Linked DNA regions of Alligator mississippiensis. The protein of the gene in region 2 purifies or fractionates together with the protein of the main gene of each other region. This does not show direct contact. Links are inferred from orthologs where the notes say so. Each region holds a gene or a part of one and is shown on either strand. Other genes may lie near its edges.

Evidence for each region.
Region 1: the proteins of RND3 (region 2) and PLEKHG5 purify together in Homo sapiens (affinity purification with western blotting; 3 studies listed by BioGRID and IntAct, with this or other methods). This does not show direct contact. The link is inferred for Alligator mississippiensis from reciprocal best matches to the Homo sapiens genes RND3 and PLEKHG5.

Annotation. Positions count from the first base shown.
Region 1 is NC_081836.1:18,548,424-18,559,148, forward strand, and holds the start of PLEKHG5 (pleckstrin homology domain-containing family G member 5), read right to left. Parts: upstream 4,622-10,725; 5' UTR 4,543-4,621; coding exon 4,410-4,542; intron 1-4,409. UniProt on the Homo sapiens protein: Functions as a guanine exchange factor (GEF) for RAB26 and thus regulates autophagy of synaptic vesicles in axon terminal of motoneurons. Involved in the control of neuronal cell differentiation.
Region 2 is NC_081827.1:227,768,713-227,779,608, reverse strand, and holds the start of RND3 (rho-related GTP-binding protein RhoE), read right to left. Parts: upstream 4,052-10,896; 5' UTR 3,862-4,051; coding exon 3,712-3,861; intron 3,548-3,711; coding exon 3,460-3,547; intron 1-3,459. UniProt on the Homo sapiens protein: Binds GTP but lacks intrinsic GTPase activity and is resistant to Rho-specific GTPase-activating proteins.

The DNA.
Region 1 (10,725 bases), on a different chromosome or scaffold from region 2:
TTATTCAGACTGATGAAGACTCTTAGACCATCAACACTTCTTAAAGGCTCATGCAGCTCACCAATGCCTAAGGCCTTGCTGGACTTCTCCCATGAGTCAGACAATTCTGGGTACTGTCATTTATTTGCACCAAATCCTGAACACAGCAAGCAGTCTCCTTGCCCAGACAGCCAAGGCTGCCTTTCCAGCCAGACCTGTGACCACAAGCAGCTCTGAGTCCCGGCTTATTCCTAGAGCCATGCTCACCACTGCTTCTCTGGCTCTCTGCTTGCTCTTGTCACCTGTCTCTGGCACAGGCAAGGGTACATACATGCAAACCAAATGATGCCCCCACTCCTGCATCCGCTGACTAGTACCAGAGAAACACCTCAGCTCTCACCGCTTGGCTACTTACTGCTTGGTACTCACTATGCTGGCCTGTACCTTGCTTCAGCTCTCACCACAAAAAGGACCTGCCAGCCTCCTTCTGGCAATCAGGCAAGACTTGGCCTCAAGGTGACCCTGGAGTTTCTGCTACGATTTAATTGCTCCTTCATTTAATCTGAATGAAGCGTGCTTATTCCTTCCAGCGACTGGCTGGCAGCCCCTCCACCTCCCATCACATTAATATTTTGGGGTATTTGTGGTGCTTAGAAGAGACGGACATCCTAGGAACTAGTAACAAAACATATTTAGCCACACACAGTGTTCTCTTGGACTGCCTGAATTCAGTCCCCCAAAGCCTCAGGCCCCTCAGCAGAATCAGTGGAGACCAGAGTCCAGCTAAGGCAACGGGGAGGAGTTCCCAGCCCCAGCAATTCAGTGCTCCTTGCTCTTGGCCCAAAAAAATCTCATATCTCCTCCAACACCCGAGTGCTGCTCGAGAATCCAAGTAGAACTGTCATTGGGCTGGTATAGGACTGAGCCACCAAGGGCAGTGAGGAGACAGGGGGATGGATTTCCATTTTCAGGACACTGTGGTACACACTGGAGAGAACTGACTCTTCCCAGGCCACTGAGAGAGCCCGAGACACAGGCCGTAGTCCCTGCCAAGTGAGGGAGCAATGCCATGGAAACTAGGAGCTTCCATCTCAGGAACGAGCACCACATTCTGCAGCAAATGCTCCTTTGTAAGAAGTGGTGTTGTAGGGGTGGGCCAAAATGCCTCACTCATGGCCTGCAGTCACCTGTCAGGGTTTGCCATGATGGGCCAGAGACCAGATGTCTCCCAGAACTGGGCTGGTTTCTGCCTCCATGCAGCATCCATGAGTCACCACTTCCGTGTTGCCAGAGGTGGTTTCTCCTCTTTCTTTTCCTATTTCTAACACCCAATTCAGCAGCTCTGTGTCATCCATTGGGTCAGCTGTCAGCAGGCTGCCTCTCTCCCTGGCTTATTTGTACATTGTATGCTTCTTGGGGCTGGACATGGGTCTGCCTTCATATCAAATGCCAAGGGCCTGCAGGATAGTGCACATGCATGCCTAGTGAGTAGGAGAGCAGCTCAGTGGCACAGTTAGCAATACCACTGCTCAGCAGGAAGCGGCCATGGGACACTGAGGGCATTCAGGTATATGAAGCACATGCTTGGCATGCTTGGGGCCTTAGCCCTTTCTTTTTTTTTTTTTTTTTTTGCCTCAAAAGCACAAATTTGTCTTTTGCTTTTGAGTCCAGAGCAGCAGGCTGTGATCCCAAAGCTGAGGAGCTTCCTTGTATCAAGGAACAAACATGTCCATACCATTTGATTTTGAGGGCCAGAGCAGGAACTACTTGAGCTTTGTCTTCTGGAAGGGAACAATCTGACCCCTGGTCCCTTTCCTCAACCTGCACATGCCTTTGCAGAAGCTTCTTCCCACTGGGATCCCCACAGACTGACAGGGGGGAACGCACAAACACAGACAGAGCAGTTAACACTGTTCCTGCTGGGAGAATAAACCCTCCTTCCATAGATGACTGGTAGGAGAGCACAGGGGGCACATGCCCCCCCTTACAGGGTTGCCGCTGCTGCCACCACCTTCTGCGAGTTCCACCCCCCCCCAGACTTGGGAGAAACCAGTTGCTCATGCCTCCTTCTGCAGAATCCAGACAAGATGTGCTGGCTCCCAGCAGCAGACACACACAGCAATGTGCTGGTCAGGCTAGAGATAATCAGCTTATTCTCTGGGCCAACAGAAACTAGCAGCATTGAGCCTTGCAGAAACCAGAGGAGCATTTCACCTGCTTGCTGCAGAGATGTGGCCAACCAGGCCATAGCAGGTACTAGTGTGTGCATGCAGATGGGCAACAGGCCATTTTCTGCCACACATCCTTTGGTGACAGCCAGTTGAGAGGGTGGGCTGAAGCCTCCAGTCTCTCAGTTGCAGCAGCATAGGGCTTAGAGGAAGGCTGTTCTGGGGAGACCTTGCAGCAGACAGTTGGAGGCCAGAGGGCTGTATGCTGGTATGTGGAGGAGAGGCTACACCAAGCTGAGCTGAGCTTCAGCACATCTGAGACCAGATTGCAAGGAGCGACCTGAGGCATATTCCCTTCTCCCCTGTATCAACAGCTCAATTAGAGTTTGTGTGAGCTGACCCCAGCCTCTACGTCATGAAAGCTGACCCCAGCAGCCACCACAACCCCCACCACAACCCCCCAGGCCTATGATATCAGCCCTCTTCAGCCCCCTAAGACTGCACATGCTCAAGCCAGGTTAGTCTCTGTCCCTTGTAGCTCCTCCACATGATGGGCTGCTTCAAAGCTGCCCCTCACCCCTCCCCAGGTCAGATGCCAGGGTGGCTCCATCTGCACTCCCCTGCCACAGTGGAATGCACTGCCATGCAGCCACAGCCCCTGGAAGCAGCCAGGGACATGTATACCACAAGAGTGGGGACAGGATCCCATGGGTAGCACAAGGGCCAGGAGAGGAGAGGCCCACAGCTCTGGGGAACAGGCTCCTGCTAGTGATAAGCCCCAGGGTGAGCGGGGCCAGACTCATGACTTTATCGGATAGGGATGGGAGTAATGTGCCTGCTGTGAAGCTTTGCTGCCCACATGCTGAAACCAGTCCCTGGAGAACACAATAACCACTCTGTCCGAGGCTGCATCGCCATGGTGTCTGGTGGCTTAGTAACAGCAGCCCTATTGGCTGGCCTGCTGGAATTATCATTGCAGTTGACCTATTATGAATAATAATGGGCACAAATCAGAAATTCTTTCATGCAGGCAAGAGGAAGTTTTTTAAACATACTGAAAACTCAGACAGAGAAGGGACAGGCAGCCCTTGGCCAAACCCGGGACGCCAGGCCTGCATTAGCACAGCTCTGCCCTGCAGGTAGGAGAAGAGGGATGGAGCCCTGCTGGCCTCATCCTGGCAATCAGTTATGGCCTGGCCTCAGGGGGACCCAGGACTTTCTGTTGCAATGGGGATAGGCTTTATGAAAATGCACAAACCCAAACCCAATCTGAGGATCAGATGCAGGCTGGGACAGGAGCTTCATCCCAAACCCCACCCAAAAGCCAGATCTTTCCTTTATTTCTATGCTAAGAGCAAAGTCCAAAAGTGCCGAGCGGAAAACCTCTAGACTCTAGGGAAAACATATGCTGCCCTCCTGCTACCATGCCTGGTTGGTTCAGGGTCTACCTGGAAAGCCCCCAATTCCAGACTTGGTGGGAGAGTTCTCTCAGTCTTCACCCCAGAGCAAGGCAGACCTGCACAGCTCAGACCATGAGCCACTCATTGCCCACACCCTGTGGGCTGAGGTGGATGTCAGATGCTAAGCCAGGTAGACAGGCTGCCCGCCCTTAGCATCAGCCCTCTGAACACCCAAGTGCTGCCAGCTAAGTCATGCTCCTACTATGCAGGTGACACAGGGAAGCAAAGTGGTGGCAGGGCACCAAGTCCTGCCCCTCACACTGCCCAGACAGGAAGGTGCATTCATCACTATCTTTACCCACCTCACAAAACACCCCCAGAATTCGGTGCCTATCTGGACTGAAACTAAACATTCAGACAGCAGGCAGCAAGCACTATGGGCAAGGGAGGCCCCAGCAATTGGTTTTCGATTAACAGAAACCAGGTGCTGGGAGCTGTCATATATATCCATACCTCCTGGGAGAGCTTTCTCCTAGCACTAGAGGCAAGTGACTCCATGCTCCATCCCAGCATTCATCTGTAACCTGCCCTTACCCTCCCCACATGGGAGCAAGCCTAGAGCTGCAGAGAGCTAACAGCAGGTTGGCAAGCCAGACCTGCATTCTCACACCTGCTGAGTGCAATGTAGGTCACCCATCTAGGGCTGGGGCAGAGCCCCCCACAAAATGTCTATGAAGGAAAAGCTGGTTGCTTCTTTGCCAGCTGGCTCTCAGCAGCAGGAACAGCATGTGCATGCTAGTTGGGCAACCTCAGCCATTGCCCACGGAGCAACCTTCCCATCCCCACAGCAAAGCCAACCTACCCCCAAGGTCCTCAATAATATCCAAGGTGGAGCTCCAGGAGAAGCGTTCCACTGCCCCATATTCCAGCTCTGTCAGAGATGTCGGGAGAGCTTCCAGCTCATATGCGCCCCGCTTCTTCCAGTACAGAAACATGTTGAAGAGGTTCGGGTCTCTTCCTTGTTTGCCCAACAACCAGAAGAGGGTTATGGCTCTTTGCTGCTTGAAAGGGTGCCCGCAGCATGTTTCCACAGCAATACCATCTGTGGGACTAGCAGAAGAAGACTGGAACTCAGCTGCACAGAACAGGTCCCGGTTTCTGGACAAGCACTGCATTCATCCTGAGGCGCGGGAGTCCTGGAGTGGTGGAGGGTGCTGCTTGAGCCTGGGCGATGCTCAAAGGGGCAGACAAAGGGGCTTTCTTCAGACTCCTACAGACATTGCACACATTTCACTTTCCACCATCTCAGACAGAAAATCAGCTGAGGGGACAGGACGCGTATGTGATTATTCTGGCCACTGGGAAGAATAGGGCAGTTCAGCCATTCTGCCTGCACAATAACCTCCCAAAAGAAGAATGTCTCCCCATCCCCTACTCCTGCACCTTTTCCCCAGGAAGGAAGTTCACAGTGCAAACCCAGTGTTAACTGCAACAGCCAGCATGAGGTATGGACAGTGCCTGTTTTGACACGCATTTTGCTACCATTAAGAAAAGTCACTGACCATTTCCAGCCCTGGAGAAAGAGGGGTCAGTGTCAGGTGGGTGGACTGCAGGCTGCAGCTGTGTGAAAGACAGGAGAGACCATGCTGGAGAAGGGAAGAGTCCTAGCCATGCTGTTCTCCAGATGGGACAAGAGAGCTCAGTCCCTGAACAGTGAATAAGGAGCTCCAGCCATCACTCCCCATCTGGCTCATCTAGGAAACACCAACTATCCCCACCCCAGAGATCAGCCCTATCCTGAGCCAAGGATTAGCACTTGGGAATGCTGCAATTAAGGCATCTTGTGCAGAGTGCCTGGGCCAATCTGGGTGCAACCACACCAGCATGGGGCTTGATACCAACTCACCCCAGCATTTGCCCAGTTCTCTGAACAGGGATTAGAGCTCAATCACAGGGATCACAAATGAAAATCTGACAATGCTGAAGTCACAACCACCCATGGCACTGGTAGGATTCATGACAGCATGAAGCCATGCCTCGATAAATACCCTATAGCAGACTTGACAAACCAGAGTGTTTCACCTTGGTGCTCAAGCCACGGTGTCGGGAACACTACATTGGTTAGCAAGTGTCTGCCAGCATGGAGACCCTGGCAACACAACAGTTAAACTACATGCTCCAGGCACCAGCAAACATCACTAATGCTCCCAATTTCCACTCTCTGTTCAGACACCTGGTTGCGATTCAAGTTTTAAGACTGCGGTAAAGTTCTGTTCCAGCTCACCCTGGCTCACACAATGGAATTTCCCCCTTCAGTATGAGCAATTGGAAAAGGTTTGTGCAGGGTCTAAAACCCGGCTAGGTGCATAGCTAGCTCCGTGGGCCAGGCCCTCTCCACAGATTTTCTTGACAAGCAATTTCAGAAGCAGTCTGCAAAAAGCTTCTAGGGAGTTTGGTGATGGAACAGGGTTGGGGATGACAGCACAATTCACAGTCCTCTACAGCCCCAAGAAACCCCAACCACCCAGCAGACAGATCCTGCCCATGATGGGGCTGGATTGTTTCATTCTTGCTGTGACTCCACAAGCAAGAGTTCAAGCCCCACTTTGGATTCCTGCCAAAGGCTGACCCGGACGCAAATGGGCACCTGGTTATTCAGTCTGCAGGACCAAAGGCAACAGGAGGCAATGCCACTTACATCCCTCCCTTGCATACTGAAAGCGCCTGGTCCCTCTGGGTTACCAGCTTCAGGACGCCTTTTGGCTTGGCTGAGCACTTCGGCCTGCCCTTTCAGATAAACCATTTGCTGGCCACAGAACCCCAGAGCAATTCAGGATACACCCACAGCAGCTGCACTGCAAATGTGCATCTCTCCCTGGCAGACAAGGTTCTTTGGGTGAATCTGATATCTTTTATTAGACCAACTTAAATAGTTGGAAAACAATTATTAAGCAAGCTTTCGGGTTCAAAAACCCTTCATCAGGCTAAGGAAGTTTCTGCAGTTGGTACGTGCTCTGGTATGTGCTCTGGTTCCCAGAGACAAGCCTATGAACTCCACTTCAACCACCTCCTGGATACTAAAAATCATAGACTAAATATAGACATTGGATTTATGACACATTATAACCTGCCTGACATCTGACTCCCCAGGTCTCTCTCCATTATTCATCCCCCTTCTCTCCCCCCCAGCCTGTCTCTCACCCATTGACTCCTCGATCTGCATTTTCACTGACTACCTGTCTTGTATGCATACCCGACCAGCCTCTGGCTTCTTTACTTTCCATTCCATCCAGGAAGAGCATGCACCAACTGCAGAAACTTCCTTAGCCTAACGAAGGGTTTTTGAACCCGAAAGCTTGCTTAATAATTGTTTTCCAACTATTTAAGTTGGTCTAATAAAAGATATCAGATTCACCCAAAGAACCTTGTCTGCCTGTGTCCTTAGACCAACACGGCTACAACCTACACCTGTCATCTCTCCCTAGTTATGCAAGATTCATTGACACTTTCTTTTCAATTGTTCAGAATCAGATGATATGGGAGACCGCAAAGCACTATGGGGAAGTATTGTTCTGGGGCAGAGGACGCAGATGGAGACAGGTTTGCAGCTGGCTCATTCTGCTGCTTCTCTCCTGCCTGGAGTCAGCCTGCGACCAGGAGGCACAACTGAATGAGGGCAAGTCTCACAAGGGTAGGAAAGAGCTAAGGAGACTCAGACCCAGGCCATAAGCAACCACATTTCGGCTGTGGGAGGCATTCAGGCTTCCGGTAGCCACCTCCTACTTGACCAGAATTTATACCATCCTATTATTTAATAAGGAGTTGTAGTGAGGTCCACCCAATGGCAGCCAAACCTGCCAGGTTTGGAATAGCCACCGGCCATAGGAAATTCTGAGGGCAACAAGAAGGGACTGACCAACCAAGGTCTGACTGCTTCCTGGTCCATGTGCTTTTGGGGCAAGTGGCTGTCAGGAAAGTGCAAATGCAGTGTGAATGCTCCAGGCACAGAGAGCTGGGTGCCACTGTGAGAATGTGAGTACGGAAGAGAACAGTTGGTTTATGAATCACAGGTTGCCACACGTGTCTGGAGTGGGACTGTGTGGCAGCTGCCAGCTTGTCTATGTGCAATAGTCAACTGGAGAACTCAAGAGCTTAAAAGCACAAATGTCTACAGCTTGAGATAGGCAAACTCTTCCCCTCCCACAGGCTGGGGGGACAGAAGGGAGCTTGCAGGGTGCCAAGGGATGGAACCCTCCTTTACTAAACTTCTCCCATGGCTCCACCCTGCTCTCCTCTTTCCCCCTTCTCACCAGCTTCTCTGTCCCCTCAACAAGGAAGACCACAGACAGAGGGACTGGCTACAGTGAGAACAACTGCGTAGTCAGGAAACTCAGGCCCTCACCACAGAAACCTGCAGTCACCATGGAGCAGCTGCTCACAGCTCTTCCACTAAGTGATCAGATTTGCAGCACAGCCCTTCACAACCTCCTTGGATCCCCCAGAGTCCCAAATATGCTCTTCCCCAGGGAACACAATGCAAGGGCCTGTCAGCCATTCACCACAGTACCTAAGTCCTGCAAGCATGGGCTGGGGCTGAAGAGATGCACCTAACCCAGGACATAAAGAACCCAGCCCCTGGGTCATTCCCTTTGAAGGGCTGCGGGACAAGCACAAAGGTTGATCAGACAAAGGTCTACCCAGCCAACAAGGCACCAAATGTGGCTGTGCGCACTCAAGACAATTATGCATATATATGTAAATCAGGCACAAGCCTCCAGCTTCTGGCAAGCTACCAGCTTGGCAGACTCCATGCCAATGTCCGGGTCTTTCCTCTGAGGGTCATCAGCGTGAAAGGCAAGCAAAAGAAAAATGTTTCTGGGAAAAAAAAGGGGGGCCAACTTTCCCGAGGGCCTTTGAGCTCTAGCTATGTGCTCTCATGACATTGGCACAGAGCCCTCTGCTCCCAGCCCAGCACACAAGGAGCTCAAGTGCTCAGGGCTTCTGCAGCACTTCCTGCCAAGGTGACATCTTGACCCCCTCTGCTTTTCCCATTGGGCGGCCAGCACTGGGACCTGGCCTCTGTGCCAGTGCAAGATGCTCACTTTGCACCCAGGGTTGGCATTGGGGAACATAACACTGCTCTGGGCCAGGGGCAGGAGCAGGGTTCATTTACCTCCAGCGGGGGGGGGAGGGGGCTCTGACAAAGAAACCAAAAGAACAGGACAAGGCAGCGGCAGGACCTGCTCACCTTTTTTGACTTCACCTCTACACACCATCTCCCTAACATGCAGTGCTTTGCTGTGCTAGATTGTGAACCATATGCACTTAGCATCACCAGGCCAGGCCCCAACAGCCTGATCACAGACTAATAACAGTTTAATGCAAGAACCAACAAGTTGGTGAGGAGAAAGGACACAGAAAGGTCAGACTCAATGAGGAAATCATTTCCTTTCCCAAGTTTCTCAGCTCTGCCTGTCAGATCCTTCCAGACAAGGGCTCCTCCAGAATGCTCTGTCACAGATGCAGACAACCAGTCACTTCCCTGTAAAAAGGTGGCATGGAATACCATACACCCAGTGAGTGCCAAACACTGTCAGGTAAACTACTCTGACACAGTAGCCCTGTCCCTCCCCGAAGGCTTCTCTGTCACTCTTTGCACTTTTGCCTGTGACCTCTCCCATCTCTGTTGGCTATGACCTTCAGTTCTCATTCCTCAGGGTGCCCCCAGTTCAGAGTACTGCAACCTGCCTGTACTCTGGCAAGCCCACACGCTCTGGCAGTTTTAACACAGTGACCCAATGTCCTGCTGAGATAAAGGCAGAGAGCACGGCGGAGAATGAGTCAGGTTCCAAGGGAGGCGGGCAGAAAGCAGTGGAGGAAGAAGATGCCCCAGACAGGGTAGGCTCTGGACTTGATGTGGCCAGTATGCTTCCAAGGAATGGCCCCTTGGGAAGATGCTGTTCCAACCAGCCCCGCAGTTTGCCACTGCTCTTTGCCTGCCTCTTCCTCCCATTTGCAGTCCCTCCCTTACACTTCCCGCAATATATCTGTTGCATTTCCACCATGCTGCAGCCTGGCTGTTTCGGAGCATTCTTTTATAACCACCTTCATATCCCCTCCCTGGGAAGCTATGCTGCTGCACAGCCACTCCATTGAGAGTGCACTTTGTTTCTGGTTTGTTGCCCCAGACTTATTGTGGTAGGCTTGTCTACATCAAACCACATTTTCCATAAACTGACTCTGCCACGGAGAAGATCCAAAGCCTCTGTGCCTGCATTCTTCTGTGCAGATTACACAAGCTTTTCTTTCAGCTTCATATTCTCTGCTCATTGGTTATTCAGGCCAGTCCTCTCGGCTTTGTCTGGAGTTTCTTTGATACAAATTCAATCTTGCCTCAGATTGACAGACAACACCAGCACTCTAAGGTAAGCCCAGGCCCAGAAGGACAGAACCAAACCTGTACTGATTAGCATAAGACCCTATGCACAGGAAAAAGAAACACCCTGCATGATGGTGCATGTGCGTGCGTTGGGGGGCTGGGGCATATCCACTGCAGATAGGTGACCGGCATCTAGCTTTTCTTCTGCCTTGAATGCTGTCTGAGAAACTGAGTCCTCCAGGAGCAGAAATGAAGTATTCACACCTGGATCTCTGTCTTTACAATGGATATACAACATAAGAAGGCCAGCCTGGACTGCTGTTTGGTACTGGAGCAGGGGTGAACGGGACCGTTTCCCTCACCCTGTACACCAGACCAGCCACGACAGTCAGCCTGCTAGACTCACAGCCAGTAAAACAAGTGACGGGAGAACAGCTGCATTTCAAAGAGAACCAACCAACCACAATCCAGAGTCTCAGAAGGCTGGAAGTGCCAACTGGGGGTGAGCCATGAAACTACAGATTGAGTGAGTTTAGTAGAGAAAACATGAACAGAGAGTGGAGACCCAAATGGCTGTGCCCCACTGGAAGGTGGGTGCAGAACACTTCTGCCTGACCTTATCCATACCAAGGGATTATCAACAGGAGGGGTGAACACTCCTAGTCATGGCCAAGCGTGGAAGAATCCATAAGCACCTGTGGTCTTGCCAACCAAGTCAGGCTGCCCCTCTCCAGAAAGAGCTCCCAATGCACAACTCAAACCTTGCTGTGCACAACTCTGCAGTGGAGCTGGAAGAAAT
Region 2 (10,896 bases):
AAACACGCTACTATTTAGCCTGGGTGATGAAGCTACCTGCTTTGTCATAGCATTCCAATAATTTGAGATCATTTACTGCTAATCAGCCACAATAAGGAAAACCAAAAATCAGCATCTAAAAGCTTCCCATGTTTTTAACAAAATAATCTTCCTAAATTTACCTTTGGTATCCAAATCAACACCCTCCCCCACATCTCCCCCGTGGAGAAACAACTGTGTTCATCAAGATCAGCATCAGCATAAGATATCAACCAAGCAAGAAAATGGAGGAGCAGAGAGGCTGTTCAGCTTTCTTGTTAGGGATCAGTTTAATGCCTTGGTTTCCAGACACTCATGCTCCAACAGCTACTGATACTGCCACTTCAACTCTCCCACTCTTGGATTATATGACTACCTCTCATTCAGCTCATCTCAAATTGGCAACAGATTGTGGGCTGTTCCCAGTTCCAGTCTCTCTCCACAGCTTCTAAGTGACATGAAGAACGATACTGAATATGGTTGAATCAAGTCCAGCACAGAGCCGAGTTCTCAGTCTGATAAACAGGTACAGTAGGGCATAAATGTTGGGAAGTGGCTGATCTAAAAAGTGAGACTGACCTGCTTTGCTGGTAGCTTGAGAATCCAGGCCCCCCCTCAAATCACCACCACCACATTGTGGATCTGAATCACTGACCATTAGCTAACATTTCAATTGGCCTTTGAAATTGGATCCACCACCAGGCATCCAAGTTGGTTTTTTTTTTCCTGAAACAGGAGTGGGAGGGATTGGGTGAGGGTGGAAGAAGTGGCAGCTTTTCTGGTTGCAGTACTTAGAGCTGAGAGGAGAGATTATTCCCTCTGCCACCTCTTGAGGTCAGTGGCAGCTCACCATTAGAGCTCTACCTGTTAATGCTCTAGCACCTTTCAGAGCCAGGGAAGTCCTGCATTTGGACAACAGTTTGATGTAAAAGAGAACCTTCTGTAAGGCACTCCAAGAGGAATGTTCATCAGCTGGCTTCATCTACTATTAACACCCATGTAGATGCAATTTATCTATTTCTCCTTGGTGTTTCACAGGAGTTGGAGTTGCACAGCCAGGATGATGGCCATGTAGCCCTGACATCAGCATACAGGCCTCTTAGAGATGACCCTCTCTCTCATGACAAGCCATATGCTGAGTTTTCCTCCTGAAGTCATGCCTTTTCTCCTTCCACTGTAATATACACAATCTCCTTATTAAATGGGGGTTTCATCTCCACCCTTCATCACTTCACATAGAGTAAATGGCTAAGTAAAATATCCCTCTGTAGATAAGAGAATTAAAACCAGATGCAGCTGCTGGTCCAGGACAGCTGCCATTCACATCTGGAAACAAAACACTCTAGTTGTGCTAATAGAAATAATGTGTTTTTCAGGGTCATCAGGGCACTTGGGAATTTTTAGTTCCTATCTAGTTACAGTGGATTGCATCAAGAATCCCATATGGCCTGCTGCTTCACAAGATAACAATGGCTCATCAGACAATGATTTATCTTCCCAACTCCCTTCACGATTCTAGTCTTATGCACCAATACAAACAGCCACTAGCTTTGGCACTTAATGCTCTTATGAACAGTCTCTAGGATCCTGGGAAAATTACTGCAGAGCCAAAAAATGACTGGACTACATGGTTTTTCATCTGCTTCTGATAAAGCTAGGCAAGGCCTATGCTAGAATGAAGCTTTGTTCCCCATGCTATGAAGTGGAAAGCAATATGGAATTGTTTCCTCAGATTCCCCTGCCCTACGGGGGCTCCATTTCCTGCTCAGACTTGAGTGTTCCCCTCACACACTGGGTGGTCTGTTCCCTTTCCACATTCTGTTGTCTCGCTGCATGCGAACTGCCACGTTCAGTCGTCTTTATTGCCTTCTGATGCTCTCTACACTCTTGTCTTCCTCCCAGCAAGGTGTGCACTCCACATTTCTTTGTTCTCCCTTCTAAAGCTTGGGCCCTTCCCATTCTACCTCCTGCCCTCCAAGATTTTTCCCTACCTCAGGAACTCCGCTTTCCCTTTGCAGAAGTCCTACAGGAGCTCTCTGTACAGTGCACTTCCTCACAAGTACTAGGGAAATCATGCTATGAAGTCACTCATTTTCATACTACTACTTTGTCTTTCAAAACACATGTCCCTTTCATGCAGGGTCTGTCCCCTTGTTCTCCGATTTCCTCAAGCTGGTCCCTTAGGAAGAGTGTTGTGTACAGCATCTCCTGCCTCTAGAAGGCTGTCCTTTTCCATAGTCTCCAGTTTGACTTTTTTCTGCCAAGGCCTCTCCCTCCCACAAAAAATTGTTTCCTCCAAAAAGCCTCCCCCCACCCCCAGTGGTATCCACTTGTTGCAGCTTCATGTGCCCCATCTCAGGGACAGGACTGGAATCCACAGGAAAACACTGGCACCAACTTGCAGCCCTGCCCTCAACACCCCTGCAGTGGAGATGGAAGAAAGTAAGCTGTAGGCAAGGTTTCCTCTGTGCAGGCTGGCCAGGGAGAGAGAGAGAGGGGCAAAGAAAGGGAATGGCCAGTGTCGATCAGTCTGTACATGGTGGGAGAGTGGGGAAACCAAGAGTTAAAAGAAAAAAGTTCAGTGAGGGGCAAGTGCATCAATTTCAGGCTGAGGAGTTGGGAAATGACCTGGAACAGGACCATTTGCAGCCCCTGCATTTGTAACTCTGGCTGCACCCACTTCAATTTGGGCATCATACATACCATAGATTTCCTGTTCTTACATTACCTTCTTCACCAAGTACTTCTTATAGTGTTGTGAAAGCCTTCTTTTTTGCCATTTTACAGCACTGGGCTGTTAACAGTTATGCACCTAGGTCCCTTTACTCACTCAAGTAGTCTCACTGAAGTCAGACTTGCCTGGGCTTGCCCAAGGGATAACCAAATGTGCATGCACGGGGGTTTATGGGACTGAGCCCTTAGTAAGCAAGAAAGTCAGGTCAGAGAGGCAGACGCCCCTAACCAGCTCAAGTGTCCGTAGGAGCATTAATCTGCTTGTTTCTGTATAATCATGTTTTACCTAAGGAGAGCCCACGCTGGCTTTCACAGCAGCGATGACAAATATTAAGATGAAAGGCTCACAATATGCAATAGTAATAGCCTCCCATCTGCTGAGCTACTCTCCACAAGAACTTTTAGAAGGGAAAAGGGGGAGGGAGAGAAAGAAAGAGAGAGAGGAGAAAGAGAAACTAAATGAAATAGGGGCACGTTAAAACAATGTCACCTCCTAATCACAGGTGACTTTTACATTAGGGAGCACCTGCGATCTCCGCTGGAAGGATACAAGTGATTCAGTAAGAGGATATAAGTGATTCAGTAAAAGCTCCTGGTGCGGCGGGGCGGCCGCAATCCCTGATCTTAGACAGAAATAGCTCCACGCAAGTCCTGAACAGGACCCGGAGGGAACACAAGCCCCCGCGGGCCACGGTGCACAGCTCTTACCCGAAGTGTCCCACAGACTCAGCTCTATCCTTTGCGTGTCGATCTCAAAGCTGGCCGTGTAATTCTCAAAGACGGTCGGGACGTAGTTCTGAGGAACAGAGAGAGGGAAAGAGGAGAGAGAGGTGGTTACCGGCGGTAAGGAGCTGGACACAGCAGCAGCAGCAGGTCCGGCTAAGAGCCCGGCAGCCTCCCGGCACCCCTGCGCGCCGGCTGGGGCAGAGGACGGGCAGCGCGCCCCGGGCCGGGACGTACCTCGGGGAAGCAGTCCTTGGCGAAGACGTGGAGCAGGGCGGTCTTGCCGCACTGGCTGTCGCCGACCACCACGATCTTGCACTTCACGTTCTGGTTCGGATCCATGACCGCCTTGCTCGAGAGTTTCTGGCTCGCTCTTCTCTCCTTCATGGGTGTCGCCTTGCGTCCCCGTCCGGCAGAAAGCAGGCAGCCCGCCCGCGCCAGGGGCAGGGAGGAGGCGGGGGGAGCCGAGCGAGGGAGAGCCCGAGCGAGCTGCGTCCTTATCCCCGGCTCGGCTCTGCCCCAAACCTGCTCCCTCCAGCCCGCGCCGCCGCGCTCCGACCCACTGCTTTGTTCCGCGGCGCCGGCCGCTTTTATAAGCCGCCGCCTCCAATCGCGAGCGCCCGCGAGGAGCCGGCTCCGCCCCCAACCCTTTTATGGAGCGGGAGCCGAGCCGGCGACCGGCTGCGCCCGCCCTCTAGGGGAGCTCCGCGGACGTGCCGCCCGGGCCAGTCCGTGCCCCACGGGGAGTGGGGTCCTAGCGCCGCCCTCCAGAAACCTTCCTCCCCGCCACGCTGCCTTAGCCCCCCTCAGCCTCAGGCTCGCTCTGCTCCCAGGTCCAGACATCCCCCGCTCTCTCCGGCCCCAGTGCTCTCAGGTGGGCGGAGGGCAGGTGCAGAGAAAGTCATCCCCTATGCAGAGTATCCAAATAAAAAAAAAAGGACTGCATAACCTACACAGACGCTGGGCATCACACCAAGTGTGAATGCAGACCCCATCATGACTGACAATAAAAGTGAGACATGATGAAAATCACCTGCTCCATCACTGTTCACAGAAGACCCAAAAGGCTTCAAGAAGTCATAGCTATATGAAGTGTGCGAGCTCCTGGAAGAGGTTGTGGGTGCCAAACCAAATCTGTGGGCAGCACTGGAGTGGGCCAGCTGCTGGGTGTTTTATACCAGCACCAGAGACTGGGCACCATCTTGACAGAGAAGTGTGGATCCAGCTGAACAGACTGAAATCCGGAGATGGATGCTTTAAAACAACACTGTACAAGATGAACATCTTGGGCAGCCCTCTGTGTGATGGGGTGTCCGGCAAACAGCACTTGATGGAAAGCTGCAGTCCTTACAATCTTCCCAGATGGAAGCTGCACACTGAGCAGTAATACCAGACAGTGGCTCAACAATTTGGAAGTTGAGATCTGCTGTGACATGAAAGAGGCAGCACCACATCAAAGCCTGCTTCAGTAGGGAAGGTCAAATAGGAGTCGAATCTTCAACCCCAGCACTCAATCAGCCTAAGCGAGGGAAGACTCGGGGCTTTGAATGCTTCATTCAAGGCCCCGTTAGCTGCAGATAGTACCTGCCATCAGAGGTCTTGCCTGCATCTTACCAGAGGTAGGTTACAGAAACACTAGGTAAATCTAGCCAGTCTGTGCCCAGGACTGATGAGAGGAAGGAAGTTCAAGTGTTGGAGCATAAAACATGAAACTCACCTAAGGGGGAGACAAGGTGGCCGTCTGCTCACTGGTGAATTGCACCTGACCTCAATGCAGACTTCTACACCGGAGTGACTTCTACTCTGTGTCGAGCGGTAAGAATAGATAGACATAGCAAGTGGTTGTGTGGGTATAGCATGTATCCTTTAATGAACTCCTCGCTCTCAGTTTTTAAAAAAGGCATAAAATACCCACCAATAATATTGTAAGCTGAACAAGTGTGCTTTAGGCATGTAGTCTCTGCGCCTTATCTGACAGGGGAATTCAGAACTAAATAAAATGTCACTATCAACCTGCTGCCATTAGTTGGGTTGGTTTTATTTTTTTGCTCTTTGGAACCAAATTATGGCAGCATCTAGAGATTTAAAACTGATCATTGATCTTAGTACTAACACACTATCACAGCAAATCAATTCAAGGGAGAACTGGTAGAAAATTCAGAGCCATATAAGAAACAAAATAAAGATGTTGAATCTCTATTTTAAGGAAGAAAACCTTGAATGTGACCTTGCTACAGAGATCAGAACAGAAACTGTGCAACAGCTGGGATTAAATTTTTTACTTTAGGCACAGTCACAGGCAAAGGATGGTTCTTAAAATACATCATTGATGGATTACCCCTGGGAAGGATACCTTTCAGTGAAGTTCTTCCTGTTATTCCTCCTTGTGGGTTTATACCAGCAGCAAAATTATCCATACAATTCAGTATATAAAAGGTAATAATTATTTACTACCTCTCCTGTCCACTCTGTCCCCATATTTTGCTTAGCTGGGTTTACCTCTCTGTGCCCATATACCCCAGATAGTGGTGTTAAAGTGGGATCTTGCTCTGTTAACTTGGACAATTAGTCCAAGACATCGTTATCCATTTGTATATAGATATACAGAGGCATCATGTGTAGACCTCAAGGTGCTGAAAATTAATAGTCTCACAACACCCCAATGTGGCAAGTGCTGCTATTATAGCTTTTTTAAAAACAAAGTTGTATCCCATTAGTGGCCAGGGCTAGCATATACTCTTAAGCATGAGTAAGTATGAATTCAAACTTCATTGTACATTTTTTGCCTTCATTCCTAGGTTGCACAACTGGAACTGAATATTTATCATTCATAAATTAAATAAGGAATGTAGCTCTTTGCTGCTTGGAAGCATTTGCAGAGAGGCCCAGGTTCTTGCAAATATTTTTTATTCATAAGGATTCATTGAATAGTTTGGAAAAATATCTTGCAGCCTGTGTATTTTTTAAATGAATAGTTCCCATCAGCTCTTAACTCATTCTAGTTGTGATGGGTTACCTACATCCCACAATACTGTATTGGATTCCTAGTGGATGACAAACTTTTAAAATCAGGAGATTAATGAATAGCAAACTATAACAGATATTCTTGCTCACAGAAGAAAAAAAATTGTTTGCATTGAAATACTGATATTTGAACATGGCTATTAAAAAATTATTTGCATGGCTGTTAACAAACAGCAAGTCCCAAGGAGATGAAATTAAAGGGGGGGGAAGGGGGGAAGAGCAGGAAGAATTATTTTGTTGTTCACATGAAGTCTACCTGTGCCACATTCTAATCCCAATCTTGTGCAATACCTGAAATTAAGTTACTGGTGTTTATCTGAAGCACTATGTAGTACAACTTGGCTCTAGTTGCCCATCTATAATTTAGAAGTTTGATATGCCTCTTAGGTCTAATGTAAATGTATATTTGAAGGAGTTAAAGTGAAGCACAGGCCTTGCTTCCATTAGTCTTTTGGAGAGTGGGTAATTTTGAGCAGTGACTGAATGCAGGTGTTAAGTACATCAGCAATGTCCAAGACAGTGGTGGTAGAATATACAGATAAAAAAATAAATAAATAAATAAATAAATAAATAAATAAATAATACACACACACACACACACACTGATTGTAGGTAGCTTATGAGTGCTGCTACAGGGTACCCACCTCTAAAAGCCTATATTAGCATCTATACTGTCTGCTCTCTCTCCTATTCAGTAGTCTCACCTACCATACATTTATCTCAACAATTAGTAGAGGAAGCTGCACACAGAGGGCAAGGCATGCTTCTGAAGAGGTGAGCCCTGTCTGGTCCAAGGCTCCCCCCTGGTCTCATCCCATTTTACTGTTGCAGAGCCTTCCAGCTTGGGGCCCGTTGTTCAGGGCTACAAGCTCCTGGCTCCACACCAGTCATGTCCCATAACCTTAGGTCTCAGCACCCGCAATATCGCCACATAGGCAGCTAGGAGCCTTAAGTCCTGTTTTTTCCCTGCCACCTCCTGCCTTAGAGTCCTGTAAGGCAAGCTCAGCTTCCAAAGGGCCACAGAATACTCTCTAGTCTTTATCCTCTGTCCATTCAGTACAGTTTCAAGTCTGAGGTGTCCCCAGTCACCCCCTTTCAGTGGCTTCCCCTAAAGCCACAACTCAGCCCTCTGGGGAAAATGCAAGTCACAAAATGCAAGCACCAGTCCCAGTTCAAAGGAACATCCCACATGGGGTTTGCTACACCCCTTGGGGACAGGCTCCAAATAGAAAGGAAAACAAAACAAAGAGTGCCTGGGGTACTTAGCTTGCTTCCCATGCAACTGCCCAGCTTCCCTTCACTTGGGGCTACCACCTGCATCCTCTCACCAGAGTCTGGACTCAAGTCCTTATTCATCACAGAACAAGCTGCATCCTCAATGACTCCCACAGTCAGACTGCCTACCTTGACTTGAGACTTGGGTTTATATAGGGCTCCCTAGGTCACATGACCCCCTACTTTCTCTTCCTGTGTCATCAAGCTCTGCCTGCACCTGGACCCAGTGACCATCTTACTTTAGGCTTCTCTGCCTGTGAATTTGCATGTGGCATTACCGCTGGAGCACAGGCAGAAGAGAGAGATGAAATGGGAAGGAAGAGAGAAGTGGGGAGAGAAGTCAGAACTACATAACCAGGAAACGAGGGGGGATGGACCTCTACCAGAGACAGGATGCACTGGCAAACACACAAAATGTAAGAGAGGCAAAGGGGGCGGGGGTGAAGGAAGGGAAAGGGGGCAGGTACCCCTGGCTCCTCTTCTCATTCTAGTGACAAGGTAGGGGCACCCTCACACTGGTATAAGTCCATTTCTGGGCTATGGCTCAGTTCTCCACCCAAGATTCAGCATAGAGTGAAAGGAAAAGAAAAATAACGTTCAAATGCTCATATTACCAGGTCTAGCTGGTGACTTTTCAGAATCATGTAAATTGTTTGGAAAAGACATCTAACTATGTTAGGAATGTGGAAACTTTAATGCATGTGGAACACTTGGCTCATCCTGACTATTGTTATCACCAAAGATCTTCCACCAGCACACAGTACAGAGAAACATTGAAAGGGAAGACTATTTGAACAGTTTGTTCTTTTTTATGATCCGGATGCTGCCACTTTTGATAACCTAAAAAAACCCACTGCTTTCAGGTTGTCTTGAAGTACTCTGCATTCTGTCAAAAAGCAAGCAAAGGAATTCTCTTTGGGTCTTCATATGCCAAGTTGCAGAACATCAAAGTTTCTAAGACTGAACTAATATTACAAGAGGTCACCAAACATTATCAAATGCTCATTGGCTCACAGGTACTGTAGTAGTGAAAGGAGACCAGTGTGGAAGGAAGGGAAAAAAAAGAAAGGAACCCAGTTATAACTACTCTAGATTGATTTTTAAGTGAAACAAAAGGAACTCAGAGCTGTATGTACTGGTCACAATAAATGTTTGTTCAAAAGCTAGCAAAGTGAAGTGAAAGACATGCCTGTCCACTGCTAAAACATTTTGGTTATTGTAAATCAGTAGGGAAATTATTCTGGAGATTTTAATCCTTGTGAAACTATTAATTATTTAAAATAAATAGAGTTAATGCCTAATCAAGTATCTTAATACCTTGGGAAATAGTCCACAAGAGTTATCATTTCCATTGGAATTTTGTGTACAGGGGCTTGGTTTGGATTTGTAAATCAGAGTTAGTTGTTCTGTTAAGCTCAAATTCTTTGTTTTTCTTCATTTATAATCCTTTTCTAAAATTTCACATTTCTCTACCTTCTACTTAAGGATAGGGGTCCATACTATAGAGAAAAATCTATGTTAATTAATACAATTTTGCTTAACGTTGTATGGGAATGTCAAGGTGCATTTCCTACCGCTCACAGATCATTTCTTTGAACACTATTACTATGGCTTCAGTAAAATAGTTGATACTAGGGGCTTTAGTATCAGTGACTGCTGCATAATTTGAATTTGAAATTATCATCAAAATTTCTGTCCATCCATCTATCCAGTACCAATCAATCAACCAAGAATCAATGTGGAAGTTATTAAATAATATTACTTATATAAAACTTGCACTTCAGTTTTTTTTCCCTTTATATTACAAAATGAGGTTAGAAGAACATTATCAGTGTTGCAAGGTCAAGCACTCAAGCGTTAGGAAATGCGTATTTCCTGCGTGTAGGAAATGTCAGCCCCCTTGTGCATAATCATCATGATGCAGCCTTAAATTAAGTTATCATGCACTAGTTTTTTCCACAGGCCCCTAGAACTCATTACACATATGGGATAATGTTATTCAATAATTTGTTTACCTTTGGTTTGGTATTGGCTTGTTTAATGGACACTATTCAAATCCTGCTCCCAACACACAATTATTAATTCCTTATAGGCTCTTTATGGCACTTAGCACAATAGTATCCGAGCACTTTACAAATATTAATGCACTGCTTTTCACAATACCCCTATGAGGTGAGATGGGGGCAGGAAAGAAAATGCAGATTGGGAAGCACAGAGAGAGTAAGGTCAAAAGTAACAATAAAACTCTGGGTGCCCAGTTTGAGCTGCTGAGGATCTGATTTTTGAGACAACAGTGCTGTATAACACTAAGTAATGTTCAAAGCACGGCTCCCATTGAATTCTACTGCAGTTGTTAGTGCTCATCTTGTAACATATGCAATAAATGAAACCAGGGTTCTAAAAGGAACAGTCTCTTTCACTACATAACCCTGATTCCTCTGCAGAGCAGACCCATCCTGTGCAGTTAGGACAGGTTTAGTGGAAAAAATAATAAATAAACTAGTATTAAAAGACTGTACTATAACACACATGCCAAACAAGGCTGAATAAGCCTGCCCCTGTAACCTTCATTCTTTATTTCCTAACTTTTGAGTGCCTCACGTACAAGCTCTGTTCTTATCATGTTTGAATATATTACCATTTGAGATGTTTATTTTAACTGTATTAAAAGAACAATCTCAATATGGCTGGGGGGGGGGGGTTGTCATTGTGTTGTGTAATTTCTATTTAAGAAAGGGAACTGAGTATATCTCAGAAATTCCATCCTGTGATATTCCATTGCTATCCATCTGAGTAATCAATGGGATGGAACTTTTTGAACTACTGCACAAGCCCCTATCCTTTGAGCCCACAGAGCAAATGATACCAATAGGTTGTCATCTTGTATGTGAGCCACCACTAGAATATGATGGTACTTTTTGTCAATCATTTGTAGATATTTGCTGACACAAGGATTCCATTTTAGGCTTTGGAGAAGTATAAATTCATCCACCCATATTTTCCAAACATGATCTCTTCTCCACCCCACCCACCCCCATATAACTCTAACTTGTCGCACTCCTGTCTCCTCCCACCCTTTGACCTCTCATTTAGGTTCCGTTCTCCTCATTTGATTAATTATAG